Linked DNA regions of Canis lupus familiaris. The protein of the gene in region 2 interacts with the protein of the main gene of each other region in a pairwise test. Links are inferred from orthologs where the notes say so. Each region holds a gene or a part of one and is shown on either strand. Other genes may lie near its edges.

The links.
Region 1: the proteins of FLT1 (region 2) and SHC2 interact in a two-hybrid assay, tested with the Homo sapiens proteins (2 studies listed by BioGRID). The link is inferred for Canis lupus familiaris from reciprocal best matches to the Homo sapiens genes FLT1 and SHC2.

Annotation. Positions count from the first base shown.
Region 1 is NC_049241.1:58,491,618-58,501,332, reverse strand, and holds part of SHC2 (SHC-transforming protein 2), read right to left. Parts: intron 9,516-9,715; coding exon 9,455-9,515; intron 9,305-9,454; coding exon 9,185-9,304; intron 7,879-9,184; coding exon 7,825-7,878; intron 7,669-7,824; coding exon 7,617-7,668; intron 7,538-7,616; coding exon 7,411-7,537; intron 6,662-7,410; coding exon 6,508-6,661; intron 5,923-6,507; coding exon 5,859-5,922; intron 5,630-5,858; coding exon 5,477-5,629; intron 3,912-5,476; coding exon 3,768-3,911; intron 2,212-3,767; coding exon 1,901-2,211; intron 1-1,900. UniProt on the Homo sapiens protein: Signaling adapter that couples activated growth factor receptors to signaling pathway in neurons. Involved in the signal transduction pathways of neurotrophin-activated Trk receptors in cortical neurons.
Region 2 is NC_049246.1:11,462,294-11,472,008, reverse strand, and holds the end of FLT1 (vascular endothelial growth factor receptor 1), read right to left. Parts: intron 6,349-9,715; coding exon 6,150-6,348; 3' UTR 3,283-6,149; downstream 1-3,282. UniProt on the Homo sapiens protein: Tyrosine-protein kinase that acts as a cell-surface receptor for VEGFA, VEGFB and PGF, and plays an essential role in the development of embryonic vasculature, the regulation of angiogenesis, cell survival, cell migration, macrophage function, chemotaxis, and cancer cell invasion.

The DNA.
Region 1 (9,715 bases), on a different chromosome or scaffold from region 2:
ACCAGAGTCAGACTCAGAATTCCAGAGTTAGATAGGGACACAGGCTCTGAAAGCACAGGATGCGGGGGCCACACTTCCTGCCCAAGTTGAATGGAGGCCCCAAAAAGACATGTCTGCCCCAAACCCTGACACCTGTGGATGCGACCTTATTTGGAAAAAGCGTCTTTGTAGAGGTGACTAAGTGAAGAGTCCTGTGGTGAGCTCCTCCTGGAGGCCCCAAAGCCAGCGACTGGTGCCCTTGTAAGAGCAGGCACAGCAGTGACCAGAGGGGCACGTCAACAGCCCAGGGACACCAAGGGCTGCCTGCACCTCGGGGGCCAGGAGAGCCTGGATGGGGCCCTCTGTGGGAGCCCCAGCAGGAGCCAGCCCTACAGCACCGGCCTCTCCACCCTGCGGCCTCCAGAGCTGGGGAACAACACTCTCCTGACGTTTACACCACTTAGTTGGCCGTCACTCGGCAGGGCAGCCCTAGGAAATCTCGGGGACGCCTAACAGAAAACAATCTGCTGCATCTCGAAACGAGAAAATCTTAGCACCACCACATGCTACAACTGGATGCACCAGAGCCGGTAGCCCGCTGGCCCCGCTGCCGGCTAGTCCCTGGACAAGGCGAGCTCAGTGGACACAAGACTCTGGAGAGCAGGCTTCAAACGCACGTTCCTGGGCCCCGTGGCAAAACCCTATACTTCTTTGGAACTGGGACAAAGAACTTGAAGTTCTGAAGCTTCTGGAGCTTTAGGAATTGCCAGTCCTGTCCTGTAGATCCCTTAGCAGAGAGGGAATGGGGGTCCAGGGGGTACTGACCTCACAGGCCAGGCCAGAGATTACAGCTCTGAGCCAGACACAAGGGGAACGGAAAGAACAGCCCCCCACCCCAGGCCAGGCCCCCCACCTCACCACCGGACAGTGACCTACACGGAGACGGAGAACATACCAAGCTCCCCGGGGGCGGTTCTGGGGACTCAGCTGGAGGCAGTATAGCACTTGGTAAACTCTGGCAAGACTCTAACACCCCCAAGCTCCTTCCCCTGGGAAATAGCTGTGAACCCCAAGGCCCTTCTTGGACGCTGGGAAACGCGGCATAAACCCTAGAACTCCTTGCAAATTGAAAAATGCTTTGTAAACCCCGAAATGCTTTAGGAGCTGTACAATACCAAAGGTCAAATTGACTCAAAGCAGCGGTCAGGTGCGGCACGATTTCATCTACCACGAGGAGGGGGGGGACCCACAGTGAAAGAATCATGCAGTTCAAGGACGGGGTTAAAAACACACAGGCTAAAAAAACAAAAAACAAACAAACAAACCCACACAGAAAAAAAAAAAGCCACAGGCTTCAAAGACGTCAAAACAAGGGGAAAGTGTGCATCTAGCAACTTGTAGAGCCTAGAACTCCCCGTAAATTGAAACATGCTTTCTGAGCCTTAAAATACACTAGAAAAGAAAACGTCATATTTATCCAAGGCACCATTATTTGTAGGATGCACACTGATTATAGACGGTGGGGAAAGGGCATCAGATATAGTCCTTTGTAAACCCTGAAAGGCCCTGAAATTGGAAAAGGTTTTGTAACCCGCAAAATGCTGTATTGACTTGGGAACTCCTTTATAGATTCCAAAATTCTTGACAAAGTGGGAAATACTGTGTAATTCTAAGTTACCTAGTAAACGGGACAGAATCCGTCAACAGCCGGCTTTGTAATCCGGGACAGACTTTCCTGAACCTATAGGCGGAGGTGGACGCCCGCTCTGGCCCCGCCCCGCCCGCTCTGGCCCCGCCCCGCCCGCCCTGACCACGCCCCGCCCGCTCTGGCCACGCCCCGTCCGCCCTGACCACGCCCCGCCCGCTCTGGCCACGCCCCGCCCGCTCTGGCCACGCCCCCGCCCGGTGCCCCGCCCCTTACCACGCCCTCTGGGTCCACCAGCAGCAGGTGCTTGGGCTGCCCCGCGTGCATGCCCGTGAGGACGTACTGCCCGGGGTTAGTGACGCTGTCGCGCACCAGGAAGTCCCCGTCGGCTCGGAGCAGCTTCTCTGCCGCCCTCCGGCTCATCTGGCCATGGTACCAGGGTTCCTGCCGCAGCTGCTCCTCCGTGGGGGCGATGGGCGCCCGGCGGGTGGGGGGGCTGGGCCACTGATCCTCCACGGGAAGGGGCGCCACCGCCGTGCCCGCCCCCGCAGAGCACTCGTGCAGCTTCAGAGCATCCTCGAAGGGTCCTGCGGGCGAGGACGAGGACAAGCTGGAGTCAGGGGCGGGCAGCTGCCCCCTGGGGGCAGGGCTGGAGGGGGAGGGGTCTGCGCTGGGGACCTCGCACTGAGCCCGCAGGCCCTCACTGGGTGTGTGCTGAGTGTGCACCTGGGGGTGCTGAGTGGGTGTGTGTGCTGAGTGTGCACTGTGTGGGAGTGTGTGCTGAGTGGGTGTGTGCATTGTGTTGAGCAGGTGTGTGCTGAGTGTGCACTGTGTGGGAGCGTTGCTGAGTGGGTGTGTGGTGGTGTGTGTGCTGAGTGTCCACTTGTGGGTGTGTGTGGTGAGTGTGCACTGCGTGCTGTGTGCCTGTGCTCTGCCTGCCTGCTGTGTGGCGCCAACCGTGCACCGCTCTTCTTCACCGCTGTCGGGTCCTGGTAGTTGAGCGGCACATATAGGCGACGACAACGTGCACACACACTTCTTTTTCTTGTCTCGTCCCTGCGGCCTCCTGCCCAGTGTCTGTGGCACCCGTGTCGTGCAGCCCCTGTCACATGCAGCCCCCGCACCAGCCGTGCACGCCTGCCTCCTACAGACCCGGGGGCCCCTGCGGGTCCCCAGGGGCTTCCTGAGGCTCCCACCAGGCGCCAGCATCACCTGGACGTGTCACCCGGACGTGCCGCTCGCCCTCTGTCGGTCTCCTTGCCGTAAGTGGGACGCAGGGCCGCACAGGTCAGGCTCCCCGACGCCCCAGCGACCGGCCCCGAGCAGCTGTCCCCGGGGCCCCTACAGCCCTGCCACCCCCTGCCCCTTGGGAATCCTGTGGTCCAAGTGCAGCTGGACATCTGGCCGCCAGGACCCGGGACCGGGCCTGGCCAAGCCACGTGTCCTCCTCAGCCTGCCACCCGCCGGCCCGGGGCGGCCCAGAATTCTCAAGGGAAGCCTGGCCGGGGTCGCTGGGCCATCTGGTCACCCCCAGGGGACGGCCAGCATGAGGGTGGCTGTGAGGAGCCAGCGGCAGCTGCTGCAGGGACAGCTCGGGTCGGCTGGTGCTAAGACTCTGGGCTGTTGGGCTGGGGGTGCTCTGCAGACTCGGTGAAGCCCAAAATTCCCAGCTGGCTTGGGTGGATCCGGGGTATCTCCCACTAGGGGGTGTCTGAGGTAGGGAAACGACCCCTCACGGGCCAAGACCCCGACGCGCTGGCGGAACAGGACAGCGTGGTTGGATCAGGAGGGTGCCCTGGACGCAAGCCTCCTCCATGAGACAAGCCCAGTGGGAGGGTTAGGGCCCAGGTCCTCCAACCAGGGAGGAGCCAGCTAAAGCCCCTCATCAGACGGGGGGCGGGGGGCCGGCAGGGGGAAGGAGCCCAGTCCCCCAGGAGAGGGGGGAGTCTCATAGAGAAGAGCGCCCTCCCCTTAAACTAGAGAGGAAACTCGCTTACCCCCTAAGAGACTGCAGAGTCCCAGGAAGGGGGGCCCCGGAGCCTCCACCATCAGACCGGGAGTCCCAGAGGAAGCACTCGTCCCCACGCCACCCTCACCAGCTTGCCAAGCCCCAAGGGGCAGCAGGCTGGGCCCCCCCACGTACGCATGTCAAACAGATCCTTCTTGGGGCTGTCCTCTGCCTGCGGGAGCTCCGGGGCATCCAGACCCTGCGTGTTGACGTACAGGTGGTCCTCGTAGTCTCTGGGGCCCCTGGCGTCGGCCTGCACGTAGCCGTCCCCCGGTGGGCCTGCGAACACAGGAGAGCGGCGGGGTCAGCGGGGGCCACCCACGCCCGGCGCCCCCGGGAAAGACGCCGTGCAGCACCCTCTGGCTGACCACCCCGCCATGTCCCCAGGGGCTGCGGGGCAGCTGGGCACCACATCAGTGGGGCCGCTGCCCCCAGGCAGCCCGGCGGCAGGAATCCCTACGTGAGTGTGAAACGCCCACGTCTGAAAAATAACAATGACACTGCTCCGCCCGTAACTGTGTCATCCACGTCACCCACGTGACGCATGGTCACTCGTTTCTGTTCTATTTTAGGAGTTCCTTCCTGTTCTCTTGAACGTTAATTGTGAGCGTGTGAAGCATTTCTGTGCTTCAAAAGCCTCCCCCGCAGGAAAAGTCATCCCTGGAGGGATTTGTCCCTCGGGTCCACTCAGCACCCCAGCTTCTGCGGGGTCCCGACCGGGCCACCTGTGCCCGGTTCCCCGGCGCTCCCCGCGGCGTCCGAGCAGGTGCCGGGTGTCTGCGGGGCTGAGAGGTGAGACGTGGCCCCACGAGGACATTAGCTCCCGTTTCCCTTATTTTGAGCAAGGCTGAGCCTCTTTGCAAGGTTCAAAGTTAACTCGTGTGTGTTTTTCCAGAACTGTCTGTGGATCTCTGAACGTCACCACTTGTAGTCCCGGCACAGAAGCGATGATTCCAATACACAGTTTGCAATGTCCCTGCTATGCCCACCTCGTCCTTCCCCGTGGACTTGGGAGCTCACAGGCCGGCTCCACCTGCCATCCATGGACACGGGCACGTGAGCGGACCTCTCGTGCCCAGTCCCGTGCTCTGTGACACGGGGAGAATCGGAGCTGCCCCTTTACAAGCAGGGGCATTAAGCCTGCAGGACGGTATCCGGCAGGGGTTCTGGCTCAACAGGAGTGTCAGCCTGGGCCCACCCGGAGGATGGCCAGTCCCCCAGCCTTTCGGGGCCGGGGCCGCGTAACAGGGACGAACCCCGGGCGGCAGGCGTCCAGACGGAGAATCCCAGGCCGTGGGAGCTGGGGTGGGAGCGTGTCGCCGGCGTCGTTGGCTAGAGCGGGGAAGAGCAGTTCACAGAGGCTCCGGCCGGGAGATGCTGGGGAGCCCCGGGACTCAGGAGTGACACGGGGCCGTGGGCCCAGCACCAGGGCCCCGGTGGCTGCCCAGTGACAGAAGGGCTCTTTAACCACGGCGCTGGGAGTCAGGGAGGGTTCTGACGCGTGGCAGCGAAATGCCCAGATGATTCGGGAAGATCGAAAATAGCAGCAAACGCAGCGCAGGTGTTGTAGAGGCTGGAGGGAACAGGCGGCCGCAGCAGGCGGGTGGGCGAGGCGCCTGGCACGGCCACCTGGGAGGGCGGCCTCGGCTCGCTCAGCACGGAGGCTCTGAGCCCATCAAGAGTGGCGGGGGGGGGGGGGGGGGGGGGGGGGGGGGCGCGGGGGAGGTGAGGTCCCAGAGGGGAGCCGGGCCCAAGGCGGATTCTAGCCTCGTGTCGTTTTGAATGATGAGTCACAGGATAAAATGCTCACGGGCTGAAAACGGAATCATTTTGTTAAAAAACACCTGACGGGAGGGCAACTGCACGCTTTCTCCGGGCCCCGGTGCGGGGTCGGCCGTGTGGCGAACGCACGGTGGGAGTGTGCACACGATGCACCATCTGCAGGAGCGAGCCGGACGATGTACGCACTGAATTGGCTTGACTACACATGGAAAAATCTGGAAAAGTAACGCACGCTAGCAACGACGACAGTGGTGGCCCGACCGGACGTGGACGGGCAGACGGGACTTGTCGCTGAACGCCTTCCTACGCGCTGGCATTTTGAACCACGGGAATGCAGTATCGCTCCCCCCAAAAAGCAAAGCAACGAGTCTGGAGCCTGGGGAGCAAGCACCGGGTCACGGGTGGAAGAGGAGGGGCCCACAGCTGAGCCCCCGGGGCACCTACCAGCACCTGACGGGCCCAGGTCCCATGGCAGGCTGCGGGCGTCCCGTCGAGCAGGAGCTGCCCCCTGAAACAGAGAGCGGGGGTCCTCCTGCAGGTGCAAGCCCCCTGCCCAGCCCGGCGCCCCGCCCCCCGCAGGGCTGGAGACAAAAGTCAGACGCGAAGGGCAGCTCCAAGGCCTCTCAACGCTGCCCAGCCCCTGGCTCTGCAACTGCCCTCGTCTGTCCATCTGTCCACTCGCCTCCGCTGCAGCCTCAGCTGCCCGCTCGGCTCCTGCCACACGCTGTTCCCTCCGCTGGGGTGCCCTTCCCTGCACTGCTCGCCCAGGCAACTCCTATTCACCCGCCGGAGCCCAGCCCAGACACTGCTTTCCCGGCCACAGGGTCAGTCTCCCTGTTGTGGACTCTTGAGACCACCCCTGGGAGCTCAGCTCACGGCCCCGATTAAACCTCTGACACAATCACCCGAGCGTCTGGAGCGGGGAGTCGTGACCGCGGATCGGCCGTGGAGCCAGACGCATCTGTGCGATTTGGGGAAGGAAGTGGGGGAGGCAGGGACCCTCCATTAGGATCACGGGGAAGGGAGCAGAAGAAGCTGGGGGCCCAAGGACCACCCTGGCAGACCCCGCCCCCAGGGGGCCCACGGGGCTGACCTGGCCGAGGGCCCCGAGGGCACCGGGCTGAGCCAGGGCGAGCCTGGAGTCCACCAGCCCGCCCGGGGGTGGCTCCTTCCCCGGGATGCTGTTGTAGTAATTGTGGTCCGCTTCGTCCTCGTCGCCCCAGGCCGACTCCTCGGGCCTGGTGAGCCTGCACACACACACAAGCACAGGAGGCTCCGCGCTCAGGGCCGGGAGGGAGGGTTGGGGGGGCCAAGGGCCTGTGGCCTGAGCCTTGCACAGGGGAGCGGGACGAGCCGGGCTGGGGGCCCCAGCCAGGAGGCGGGTGTGCAGGTGGCACGGGACGGGCAGGCGGCTGCCGGGCAGAGCGGAGGGGACTCGGGGCCCCGGCTCTCTCTGCAAACCCTTCCTGTGCCTTGTCACGCACGTGTGAATTCCTAACACTCCATACGGGGTCTCCTTCTGCCCGCTGAGGTACGACCCGGCCCCTGCCCTGCAGCTGCAGGTGCTTTCTACGCTTTTCAGCCACAGAACTTTGAAACGATTCAGAGAACGTCCAGAGAACGATGTCTGGTGACGCGGAAAAGTGACATGAAATTTGAGATTTAGCGTCTATAAATAAAGGCTGGCTGGCCTGGGGCCCACCGAGCGCTAGCAGCCCCCACGGCTGCTCTTGCCACGCGGCCGAGACAGGTGGTCTGGCCCACGACGCCGAAAACATTGACTGTGGGCCCTTCACAGACACGCTGGCCACCCCCGTGCAGACTGGAGATGACAGCCGCCGCGACGGGCCCTGGATCCTCGCCTCAGCCGGGCAGGGGGAGGGCGGGGGGGGGTTAGGGTTCGGGTTTTCATCTGGGTTAACAGGTGTGGGAACAGGACGGTGGCTGAGAGCCAGGGCGGAGGTGAGCGCGGGGAGCGGGGGGGGCGGGCTGGTACCTCTCCGGGGGCACCGCCACCCTGGGCGGGCTGTGCAGGTACTGCTTGAAGCGCAGCTCGAAGGCCTGGCCCACGGTGCTGATGATGCTCTGGGCGAGGCCCTCGCAGCACTCCAGGATGTGGCAGGCTGCGGATGGCGGTCACGCGGCATTGGTGTGGCCGTGCCGGCTGGCACACCCTGCCCGGCCCGCCCCGCCCACCCTCACCTCTCTGGTTGATGGGATCCTTGGCTACGTAGGCCACATAGTCCGTCATGTCCTGGGGAGAGAGGACGGGTGACAGGGGTCAGTCAGACCCCCTCCGCCAGCCTGCCCGGGCTGCGGGCCTCCTCGCCTAGCTCCGCGGGAGCAGAGGGTCTCAAGGCTGCAGGGGACACAGGGAACCAGAAGTCCACCCCCCCGGCCCCAGCCTTACCGTGTCGCCGCCTGACGCGAAGGAGATGGACTGCATGTGGTGGTTGGCAATGATCTGGCCAGAGAGAGACACGCGCAGTCACGGGGCCGGGCTCAACTGTTCACTAGGCCGGGGCCGCAGGGAGGGCCCAGGGAGGACGGGGTGGGTAGTGGGCACCGGGGACCAGGAGGGCGCCGGGGTGGGGAGCCCCCTCCCGGGCCGAGTGCGGAGGCAGCAGCCAGACTCACACATGCACACTCCCAAGGCCCGGACACACACACACAGGGTCTCACACTCAGACTCACCCTCCCACACACAGGGCCTCCCACATTGAATGCCCAGAGACACAATCAGTCCCACCGACCCTCAGACACTCGAGCCCGTCTTCACACCCTGGCACATCACGCTTCGGCCCTCATGTCCACTCACACGGACACTGAGGTGTGGCACACTCACCTGGCACACCCAGTGCAGCCATGCAGGGGTGAGACCTGCCAGAGGCCCCAGTCTGCACACCGCCCCGTGTGCTCGTTTGCATGCTCATTTATATTCATTTGCTCACTTGCATGCTCATTTATTCACTTGCTCATTTGCATGCTCATTTATTCACTTGCTCATTTGCATTTGTGCGCTCACACACATATTCACTCATTGCAGGCTTGCTTGGTGTGCACATTTGCACACTCGTTTCCAAGGTCATTTGTGTGCCTGCACCATTCGCCAGCCCCTGAGTGGACCCGTTGCTGCACGAACCACACAGCAGCTGAGGCCCCCGCACGGGCTCCCTCCTTTGCACCCTCACAGCCACATGTCACAGCACTTCCCAGGGTCACGGCGCTGTCTGGACACATCCCAGCTTTTCCCCATGAGCCTCCCTGACCCCTCCAGCTCTGTCTCCCGACAGGGTGACCTCTGCCTAGAATGTCCTCTGCTCACCTCCTCCCTCAGAGGTAGCCCCACCGCCTCCAGGAAGCCCTCCACCCCACCCCTGCTCGGCCACAGTGCCCTGTGCACACCTATAACAACTGCACACCTATAACAACCCTCGCCTGGCCTCTCGGGGCTTTTTGGAATTTATAATTATCCCTTCTTTGTGCAATGATATTTTGCTGGTTTGTCCACCAGGAGATTCCAGGGCAGGGCTCTCATCCCGGGCACGGCGACCCTGGTGCGGGCCGCTCTCTACAGGGGCGTCCTGGGCACTGTGGGGTCCAGCCGCACCCCCACCCATTCACCCAACTCTGGGCATCATGAGGCGGCCCGGCTCCGGCTCAGGGTGGGTCTCGGCAGGTGTCCAGGTGAGCACGTGACACCACGCCCAGCGCTGCGCCCACCGACCCCGACCCGCCCACATGGGGCTGACGACCCCCGCGGCACCTACCTGGCGCGTGGCGGGCACGGAGAGGTTGAGGCCGTCTGTGGAGATGCTCACGGCGATGCTCATGCCGGCGAAGCGCAGGTTGCTCTTGCCCAGGATGGAGGCCAGCGCTTTGTTGGGGGCCTGGGGACGGGGGAGGGCAGTGCTGGGCCTGGGGAAGGGCGGCTGCAGGGGGCTGGCTGGGGGGGTCCGGGGTGCCCCCTCCCCCCAAGCCACCCCACGCCCCAGCCACGCCCACCAGCGCCCCTCAAGGCCCGCGAGCCCCTCACCCACCTTCTTCTTCCAGGAGCCCCGGACGCCAGGCACCGCCTCGTGGAGCCGGTTGATGGCTTCCCTGTGAGGGGGAGCGAGGAGGGGGCTTTAGTGAACTGGGTGGCGGGGAGCAGGCAGGCGTTCAGAGGGTGTGGGGGTCAGAAGCCACAGACGAGGGAAGGAGGGTCCTGGAGAGAGAAGAGGGAGGGACGGAGCCCCCCCACCCACGGCCCCTGGCGGCACCTGCCCCCGCCCCCGCCCCCGCCCCTGCAGGGACCAGCG
Region 2 (9,715 bases):
CTTTGCTTAGGAAGCTCTTGCAGTATTTCAAGCAAAAAAATGTTAGGGATTTGAACTGGAGTGATAGCACTAGAGGTGGCGTGAAGTGATTTGATTCAATATATTTTAAATGTAGAACCAAAGGGATGTCCTGATTATTGGATATGGGCGAGAAAAGCAGAAAGAAGTCAAAATCACTATTAAGATTTTGACCTGATGCTGACAAGATGGAGGATTCTACTGAATTGAAAGAGCTTGTACTAGAAACAAAGGGTTTTTTGGAGGGTGGGCAAGAAGGATGGAGAAATGAGGTAAGACAATAGGGAGTTTGGTCTGGGACCTGTTAAGTTTAAGATGTTTAGTACACATTTGTTCTGGTTACTTATTTTGTAAGGAATGACTCCAACCTTAATGGCATAAAACAACCATTTTATTGTTCTCAGGAATTCTGTGGGTTAGGAATTTGGACAGGGCACAGCTGGGATGGCTTATCTCTTCCATTATGTTTGGGGCATCTGCTGGAACAATTCCAATGGCTGGGGGCTGAAAGCATCTGATCTGGCACCGGGCCTGAAGGACTTAAAAGGCTGGGTTCAGCTGGGGACTGTCGCTGTAGATACATGTGGCCCTGCCCTGTGGCTCAGGCTTCTCTAAACATGGCGACTAGGTCTCTGGTGGGAGCTTCTGGAGAATGAGTGTACAGGAGACTTGGGTGGAAAGGGCATGATCTTTTCTGACCAAGCCTCAGAGTCATGCAGTGTCACTTCTGCCACGTTGTGTTGATTACAAGTGAGTCACAAAGGCATCTTTGATTCTAGGGGAGAGGAATTTAATGGGGAAGTGGCAAGGGCACATTGCCACAGGTCATGTGGGATGGGAGATGTTATTGCCACTATTTTTGGAAAACAGAGTTGGCCACAGCATCAAGAGATGTCAGTTTAACACTTGCATGGGTGTGGGTTTGGAGTCTGGGGGAGAGATCTGGTCTGTACATGTAATGAATCATTATATAGATGTCATTTAAAGCCCTGTGATTGGTGGACATCATGGGAGTTAGTATAGACGGGAGATGAGAAAAGGCCCAAGGACAGAGCCCTCGGGTAACTGCAACAATGTTCAAATGTCGGAGAAAAGAGAAAACTAGCAAGAGGGACAGAAATGACCAGGGAAGTAGGAAGAAAAATGTGTGACATCCTGTCATCAAAGTTAAAGTAGGTATTTTCTGGAGTAAGGGTCTAGTTGTTGATGAGGCAAGAAAGACTAAGACTGAAAATTGGCTGTTGGATTTAGCAATTTGCAGGTAACTGATAACCTCATCAAGAGCAGCATCAGCATGCCAGAGAAAGCTGTTTGAGTAAGTTTAAGAGTACTTGGTGGGAAGGAATTGGAAACAGAGACTAACCACCTCAAGGAATCTTTTTGTAAAGAGGAATAACAAAAATAGGGTGGTAGCTGGAGGATAAAGGAGGGATAGAAGGTTTTTTGCTTAGTAACATGGGAGAGACAACTGCGTATTTGTATGATCTAGTGAGAAAGGGACACATTGAGGGTGACGAGGAAATGCTGAATTTCTGGAGCTGTGTCCCTGCATATAGGAAGGAGTCCAGCTGCATCAGAGCATGTTTTGAATTGGCCATGCAGAAGAGAAAGCAGAGTATGTGAGTATAGATGCCAGCAGGTGAGTAGATGTGATGGTGAGATTTTGAAGTTCTCTTGATTACTTCAATCTTCCCATTGATGTGGGTATAACTTATGATACAAGTTATAAAACACTTAGCTGTTGATGCATGAGATTAACCTATTTTTGTCTGAGATTAAGTCCTTACTCTTTTTAAAATGGGTCTTCTGTGAAAAGTGATATTAAATGGGTTTTTTCGGGATCCCTGGTGGCGCAGCGGTTTGGCGCCTGCCTTTGGCCCAGGGCGCGATCCTGGAGACCCGGGATCGAATCCCACGTCAGGCTCCCGGTGCATGGAGCCTGCTTCTCCCTCTGCCTGTGTCTCTGCCTCATTCTCTCTCTCTCTCTGTGACTATCACAAATAAATAAAAAATTTTAAAAAAATTAAAAAAAAATAAATGGATTTTTTCTTTTAATCTTTTATTGAAGAATAGCACACACACGTTTGCAAATAAGTATATAGCTCCATAAATTATCACAAACACACCTATGTACCACACCCAGATCAAGAAGGAGAACATTTGTGGCCTCTAGTTGTTTTTGTTTTGTTTTGTTTCTCCCCTAAAATATCCTTAGTTCAGAAAATAGAAAGCTAGTCATCCATGTGTTTAGATCAAGGATATTTTTGTAAAACTTACTGGCCTGTGAAACCCAAAAGTCTGGTAATATGTTTAACATTGAGGAGTCTAATAAGCCTTACTGGGCCATCCTGCTAGAAGAAAGAAAGAAAGAAACAATTCCCAAATGTCCTATAAGTTTCCAGAGTCATGAGAAAATTTCTAAACCATGACGGGACACCAATTCCTCGAGCATTCTTCGAGCATTCTTCAAATCATGTGCTTCATGAGTGACTTTACTCTTATGCTATGAACACCAACAATTTTTTAAAAGGATTTCAGATTCATGAAGATAAAATGCCTCGTGCCCTCTTCAGTTAACCACAAATTTACCGAGAGGAGTCATTTTTCCTTTTTCTTGCCGCTGTCCCAAAGAAAGGAGGCCTGATTTCCCTTACAACATGTCTCCAATCTAGTTTCCTCATGATGTTTTTAGGAAGGTGACTTTCCAAGACAATGTGCTGGTCACCTATTCTATTAGTGATGATCTGAATTATTTCTCTTTTTAAGATGTCATCCACCAAAACAAAAATGAAGAGTATGTGGCTGGTGTACTTTTCTTAGGGAAGCCCTTGTGTCTTATAGGCTTTTGTCTAATTATTTTGTATGGTTTCCTGTATACCACCTCTAATACACACATATCCTGTAATTAAGGTAATAGTTTCTTAGCTGAATATTAGTGTTTGGGAAAACTTGCCTCTTTTTTTAATCACTTGCACTTGCACTCGGTCTGTACATTTTGCCTGTGATTGTGTTCATTTTAGTGTTTCATTTTCTGGGTGATGTGCCTTGTGTGATTTTGGTTTTCATTTACCGATGGTTGAGAGCAACCATCTTGTGGCCCTAAAAGACAGCTCTTTGCCCCTCTTTTCAGAGTCCTTGCTTGATTCTTCTTGTGCTGTGTTTCATAATTGGTATTTAATGAGATCCCCCAGAATACCAGTCCTCCACCCTCAAGGAAACCTGTGACCCCCTTTATTCCTGTATAAGCAAATTGGAGAAAATATGTAGATGTTTTTAGAAGTTAATTTTATTATATGAAGATAGCATACAAAATACATTCATAGTGACTAGAGATGTAGGACAAAATTAAGTCTTACTTAATATCTGCAGCATATATTCTTGGTATGTATAAAAGTAATTTTTTAAATTTCCAGTTTCCTTAAATAGTTACGCACAAAACACACACACGTATATACACATACACTGTCAGTCAAAGATGCGCTCTTCCTTTCACCCACTAAAAGGGGCTGGCAAGTATCTGTTTCATGTTTGACATTCTTACAGGCTGGGAAACAAGGCACGGTTAGGAGATCTACATACCATTTTTCAGGATTTAGACACATTTCTTCCATGGGCTAAAACTAAGGTCTACGCATCGTTTCTTAGACTAACTGGATACAGACTTGCATGAGGTTTCAGTCCCATTCCACCCACACTGTTACACATACAGGTTCTCCCAAATCCTGAAAGGAAATGCTGCCTTGCTTGTTAGTGCCAACTATTTGTATCACAAGTGACAAATGGTTCTAATAATATCAGTTAATTAGTGTTTTAATTTTCAGTGCTTTTTAATGTCCAGTGCTGGTTAATGAACCATTCTGGCAAGCATGTCACAAAGATTCATTATTGCAAGCTTCCATTCTTTTTTCTGTGCTAAGACTCTAGATGGGACCGTTTTTGACTGATGGGCTCAACCTGAGTCTTTGAAGCAGCCAAATTAACATAGTTCTAATACATTTTGGGGGGGGGGGGGAGACAGTATTACTGAGGTCCCTGAATAATTAAGAATTAGATTATTGAAATTGAGATACTGTATGTAGAGTTAAGGTGTTCATTTTCACTAATTGCTGGATCTTTTTCTGATTTGGAAAAAACAAAATAACTAATTAAAGTCTTTTTAAATTGTCCCTGTTGAACCTCCTCTGGTTACCTGACTGATACTGTTGCCAGCTATCACAGGTGCTTTTGTGCATGCAAGGAAGAAGAACAAAGCTCATCCCCTCTTCTAGCCCCTGGCCTGATTTTGTTTGCGCTGGGCTCTTGGTGGGGAGGCCTGCCTCACTTCTCTGCTGGCCAGAGGCTTCTCCAGCAGAGCCACCACTGGAGCATCCGGTACCTCACTTGGGGTGTTGCTTACTGTCCCATCTTTTTATACTAAGAATCTTGAACCAAGAATGTGATACACAGAGTAGGAAGCAAAGATTCTTCTATTATATTTCAGGTTCTAGAGATAAGTTACTTGCATAAAGGGAAGTGTACTCTTCTCTATAACCAGAAGCAGCAATTCACTGTTGCCTGTCCAGCCTTGACTGGCTTTAGAAGGTGCATACATCCTAAACACATAGCATCAAACAGAGCCAATTGAGAGATCCAGGGTCTTTAAACCCTGAAGAGTAGGCACCCTTTTGTACCCTGTCTCCCTATTTCCATCATTCTCAGACCCAAGACAAGGTCCAAAGTAGATGAAAAGAGGCTTTTCTCCTATTGATGGCTCATTAACTAATATCCTGAGTCCCAATTCTGAAAGTATCTTGCATAAATTACATATCACCTTTTTTTCTCAAGGAGCATAAAGTGCTTAATAAACATTGGTTAATGCTCTTCCCCATCTTTCCAGTGGACTAGGGTGAGATAGTAGAATCCCCATTAAAAAGGAAACATGATTGACTTCCTGTCCTTTGGGTCCCAACTGTTTCAGTGAGTTGGTTTGGTTGGTATCGAGATGGGGTTTTCACTCTGTTCATCCTATTTTTGCTCCATCTATTCTGGTTTTGGTATAGAGGAAACCCTCCACAAGACTCATTTTCATCCTCCTCAGCTTCCTTTTATAACTAACTATATAAAACAGGTTAATGTAAAAAAATTGAAGTGTCTTGGTTATACATTTTAAGACTCAAAATAGAATCTGACAATATTTTTGGAAATGTGGCTTAAAGCCCGACAAGTAACCCTAACAAACCAAACTCATTCCAATTAGGTTGCTCTGAGCAGTCAGCTAAGTGTGAGGCCATCATGCCATGGAGCCAACTTAGCTCAGGGTGAGTTTGCAGTGTGTCTTGCTAGAGGGGCCTGCAGTCTCAGCTCAGATTTGAGCACGAAGCTCCATGCTAGAAATTTCAAAATGTGCCATAAATGGGAATGGGCATAGGTCCAATCCCATAGCTAACATTTTACAATTTGTTTCATAGTTCCAAAAAAAATGTGTTTGTCCTTTTATTGCCTGCTGGAGTCCGGAAATGTCCCCTCATCCTTCTGTCCTGTCTGCTCCCTGGCTGGGTTCTCCATGTGGACCAGGTTTGGTCAGGGTTTGGAAGCCACAGCAGTGTCATGGCTGACAGCCCTCTCCTACTCCCTTCCCATATGGGACAGCACAAAAATTCTTTGTCCTGTTTGATCTCTTCTTTCTTTCTCCCTTCTTTCCTTCTCCTCTTTGCCATCACATCTGCTAGAGGACCCCAGAGACATCATGTAGGTCAGCTTAGGACTCGTCTCCTGGTTCCAGGGTGCCGGTGGCTGACCCTGTGGAATCCATACTGCATTGCATGATCAATGCACCTCCTGAATCGTCAAATGCCCTGTGGTCTCGGGGTAGGAGCAGGTAAGTCATTGGGCTTAGAAAGGGTTTCTCTAACACACTGAATAATGTGAAGATTTACTAGTGGTGTTTTTCACTTGTCACTATTACTCTATCTGGGGTTACATTCTTGTTAGTCAAAAAGAAAAAAAAAAAAGCACTATTAAAAATCATAAAAGTCAGCTTGCTCCTGTGGAAAGGTAAAGGTGTAAATTTATATGTGTCATACTGGCAAAAGCTAGTTTTCAGGGAGCATAAATACTTGTGTGGTTCTAGAAATAAGGCGACGTGTCAAACTTTAGACAGGCGGGGTGGAGTATAAGACCACCGAGTTGTAGTCTGGGGGAGGCGAGCAGCACGAAATCTTCTTTTCCAGCTCTGAGTTGTCATATGTAAATCTGCGCCTGCCTCTGTTGATGTGCCCACACCTGGAATGGCAGAAAGGCCGTGTGAGGTCAGAAAGCCCCGACTCCTTACTTTTACTGGTTACTCGCAAGCTAAAGAAAGAAAAGAAAAAAAAAATATACAAAATTGATGAAAACAATTGAAAACAAACACTAACCTCCACTCTTTTCCGTCAGGTCATTTGCTCATAACTGTTCTAGAGTTAACGGCTATTGAATCCCATCTCAACCTCCGATCAGAGTCTCTTTGTTCTAGAGCTGCACACTGCTTCTCTACTACCAGCTTGGTGGCACCAGGCAGACAGATGCCTTCCTCTGGCTGGGGGGTGGATTGTGTGAAGAGAGAACTGCAGATCCATAATCCCAGGTCGAGAATAGCTCCCAGGCCGGTATGGCCCTCCCCTGCACTTGGGCCAGCCAGCTACTGTGGTAGGCTGAACAATGCTCCTGCCTCCAAAATAAATTGATCTCAAATCCCTGGAACCTGTGAAGAGCACTTTGTGTTCTAGAGACTGAATATTACCTCATGTGGCAAGACAGGTGATTAAGCTAAGGATCTTCAGAGGAGGAACTGAGTTTGAGTTACCCAGGTAGGCCTTAAATACAAACACATGCATCCTTATAAGAGATGCAGAGAGAGCATCACAGCCACACGCAGAAGGTAGTGGTTGGAGGTAGAGTAGGGAGACATGGCCACAAGCCAAGGGATGCTGAGAGACGTCAGGGGCCAGAGGAGGGGAGGAATGGATTCTCCTCAGAGCCTCCAGAGGAATCTTGGCCCTGCCAACACCTTGATTTCAGACTTCTGGCCTCTAGAACTGCAAGAGAATACACTTCTCTTGGTTTAAGCCACCAACTTTGTGGTAATGTGTTACAACAGCCTCAAGAAATGAATAGAGCTTCAGGCAAACAGGTTAGTACCATTGTCTCCCTGTCATGTTTGTGTCCTAGAAAATTTAGGTTATGGGATGGTCACTACTAAGCAAGGCTCACAGGAGAAGAAGCTTGCTTCTGGTTCTGTGTGTCTCATACAGCCTGAAACAGATACACAAGAAAGAAAAGCTTCTCTTGTCCGTTTGTATTTGTTTATTAATAGCTGGGATGAGCTGAGTGAAGTAAGTCAGTCGGAGAAGGACAAACATTATATGTTCTCATTCATTTGGGGAATATAAATAATAGTGAAAGGGAATATAAGGGAAGGGAGAAGAAATGTGTGGGAAATATCAGAAAGGGAGACAGAACGTAAAGACTGCTAACTCTGGGAAACGAACTAGGGGTGGTAGAAGGGGAGGAGGGCGGGGGGTGGGAGTGAATGGGTGACGGGCACTGGGGGTTATTCTGTATGTTGGTAAATTGAACACCAATAAAAAATAAATTTAAAAAAATAGCTGGGATGAGAACAAGAAAACCCACACATTAATGTTGTTGTTGAGAACAAGAAAACCCACACATTAATGTGGCCACAATAATGTGCCACCACATTATTTCATTGGGTTCTGGATTAACAACATCAAGCACTTGCTGTATTTTTAATCTCAGAGTAGAGGGTGCAATTATGGTTTTCTTTCACAGAGATCTAGATAAGTATTCCAAAATAGGAAACAAAAGGTTGTCGGTAGCCTTTCTTTCCTAGCTTAGACACTTGTTCTTTGTGAGGGTCCCCTAATCTGCTACCCTACGAGGGGACTCTGCTCTGGTGCCATCACGGTGCTCATGTTAAAAGCAATCAAGTATGAAGATGTTTGCCTGGTAATGTTCTCACCTTTGGATTTACTTGTGGTTGTTAAACTATGCTGTGTCACTTAGAGGTGTTTGGGGCCATCTTTTGACTTGAATCAAGGTCAGCAAACTATAGCCTGTGGGCTGACCACCTGCTTGGTTGTTTTTTGTTGTTGTTGTTTGTTTGGTTTGAAACAGGTTTATTGAAATACAGTTCACCTGTTGAAAGTGTCCAGTTGAATGGAATGGACACATCTGTGCCATTCACAGATGGCACAAGCATCAACATAATTGATTTTAGAACATTTTCATCACCCCCCAGAACCAATACCCGTTAGCATAGCTAGCCAGTCACTCTTCCCCACACTTCCCACCACCAGCCCTAGACAACCACTGATCTACTTTGTTTCTATAGATTGGCCTATTCCTGGCATTTAATATAAAGGGAATCATTTATGCTATGTAGTCTGTTGTGACTGGCTTTGTTCACTTAAAAATGTTTTCAATGTTTATCCATATTGTAATGTGTCAGAACTTTGTAGTTTTTTATTAGCAAACATTTGTATGGGTAATACTGCATTCTATCTGCTCATCAATCGAAGGACATTTGGCTTGGTTTTACTTTGGGTTATTAATGATGCTGCTATGAACATTTGGGAATAAACTTTGGTGTGAACATAAGTTTTTGTTCTGTTGGGTATGTACTGAGGGAGTAGAATTGCTGGGTCATGGAGTAATGCTATTTAACCTTCTGAAGACCTGCTATTCTGTTTCCCAAAGTGGCTGCACCATCTTACATTGCCACAGCAACACCAAGAGCTTATGATTTCTCCACATCCTCATCAGTATTTTTGGTTCTAGCCATCCTCGTGGGTGTGAAGTGGTGTCTCGTCCTGGTTTTGATATGCATTTCCCTGACGACTAACGACCTTAAATATCATTTCATGTGCTCATTGACCATGGCCAGCTGTTTCTGTAAATAAAGTTTATTGGAACACAGCCACACCTTCTTGTTTATATATTGGTGATGGCTGCTTTTATCCTACAATGGCAAAGTTGGTTCGTTGTTTTCTGTGTGACTCATAAAAAGTCTGCTGACCTCTGATTTAGATGAAAGAGGATCACATTCTGCCTTTGGGTGAGACAGGGGCAGCATTTGAATCAGGAAAGGTAGGAATGCCCGATAGACAGGCCCAGGCTTCGCCTGGCCAGCATGATTCCTAGGTAGAGACTAGCTCAGAGGAGCTAAGGTGATAGCAGGGCCAGTGGAGCAAAAAGCTGGAGCCTAATTCCAACAGCACTTGCTGCTGGCTACCGTAGGGAGGGAGGAGTGCTTCCAACAGGAAACAGGCCTTCATTTGGAAGGGTTGGCTTCTCAGGATGGCAGATCTTAGGACTAGAAAACAGGACTGTGACAACTGCTTCCTGTACAAACACTGCCAGCCCAGGGTATAATCATGGGCCAGCTTCCCTCCCTGCCCCCATAAGCATGTCTCCATCTGTTCACAGTTGGGCACGTCAGCCTCCTTCCAGCTGAGGCACTGTACTTCATGTGTTTGGACTGCCTGTCCCTGCTGCAGTTTTCTGCCTGTTTTTACTTCTCAAATCCCAAGCTTCCTGCTCAGCACTTGGTGCTCATATCTTTGATTTTATACCCTCCTAAGGAAAAAAAAAAAAAAAGTGCTCTTCTGCAATGCCTGAGCATAGTAGTTCAGGAGGGCAAGTAGCTCTCAGATCTCCC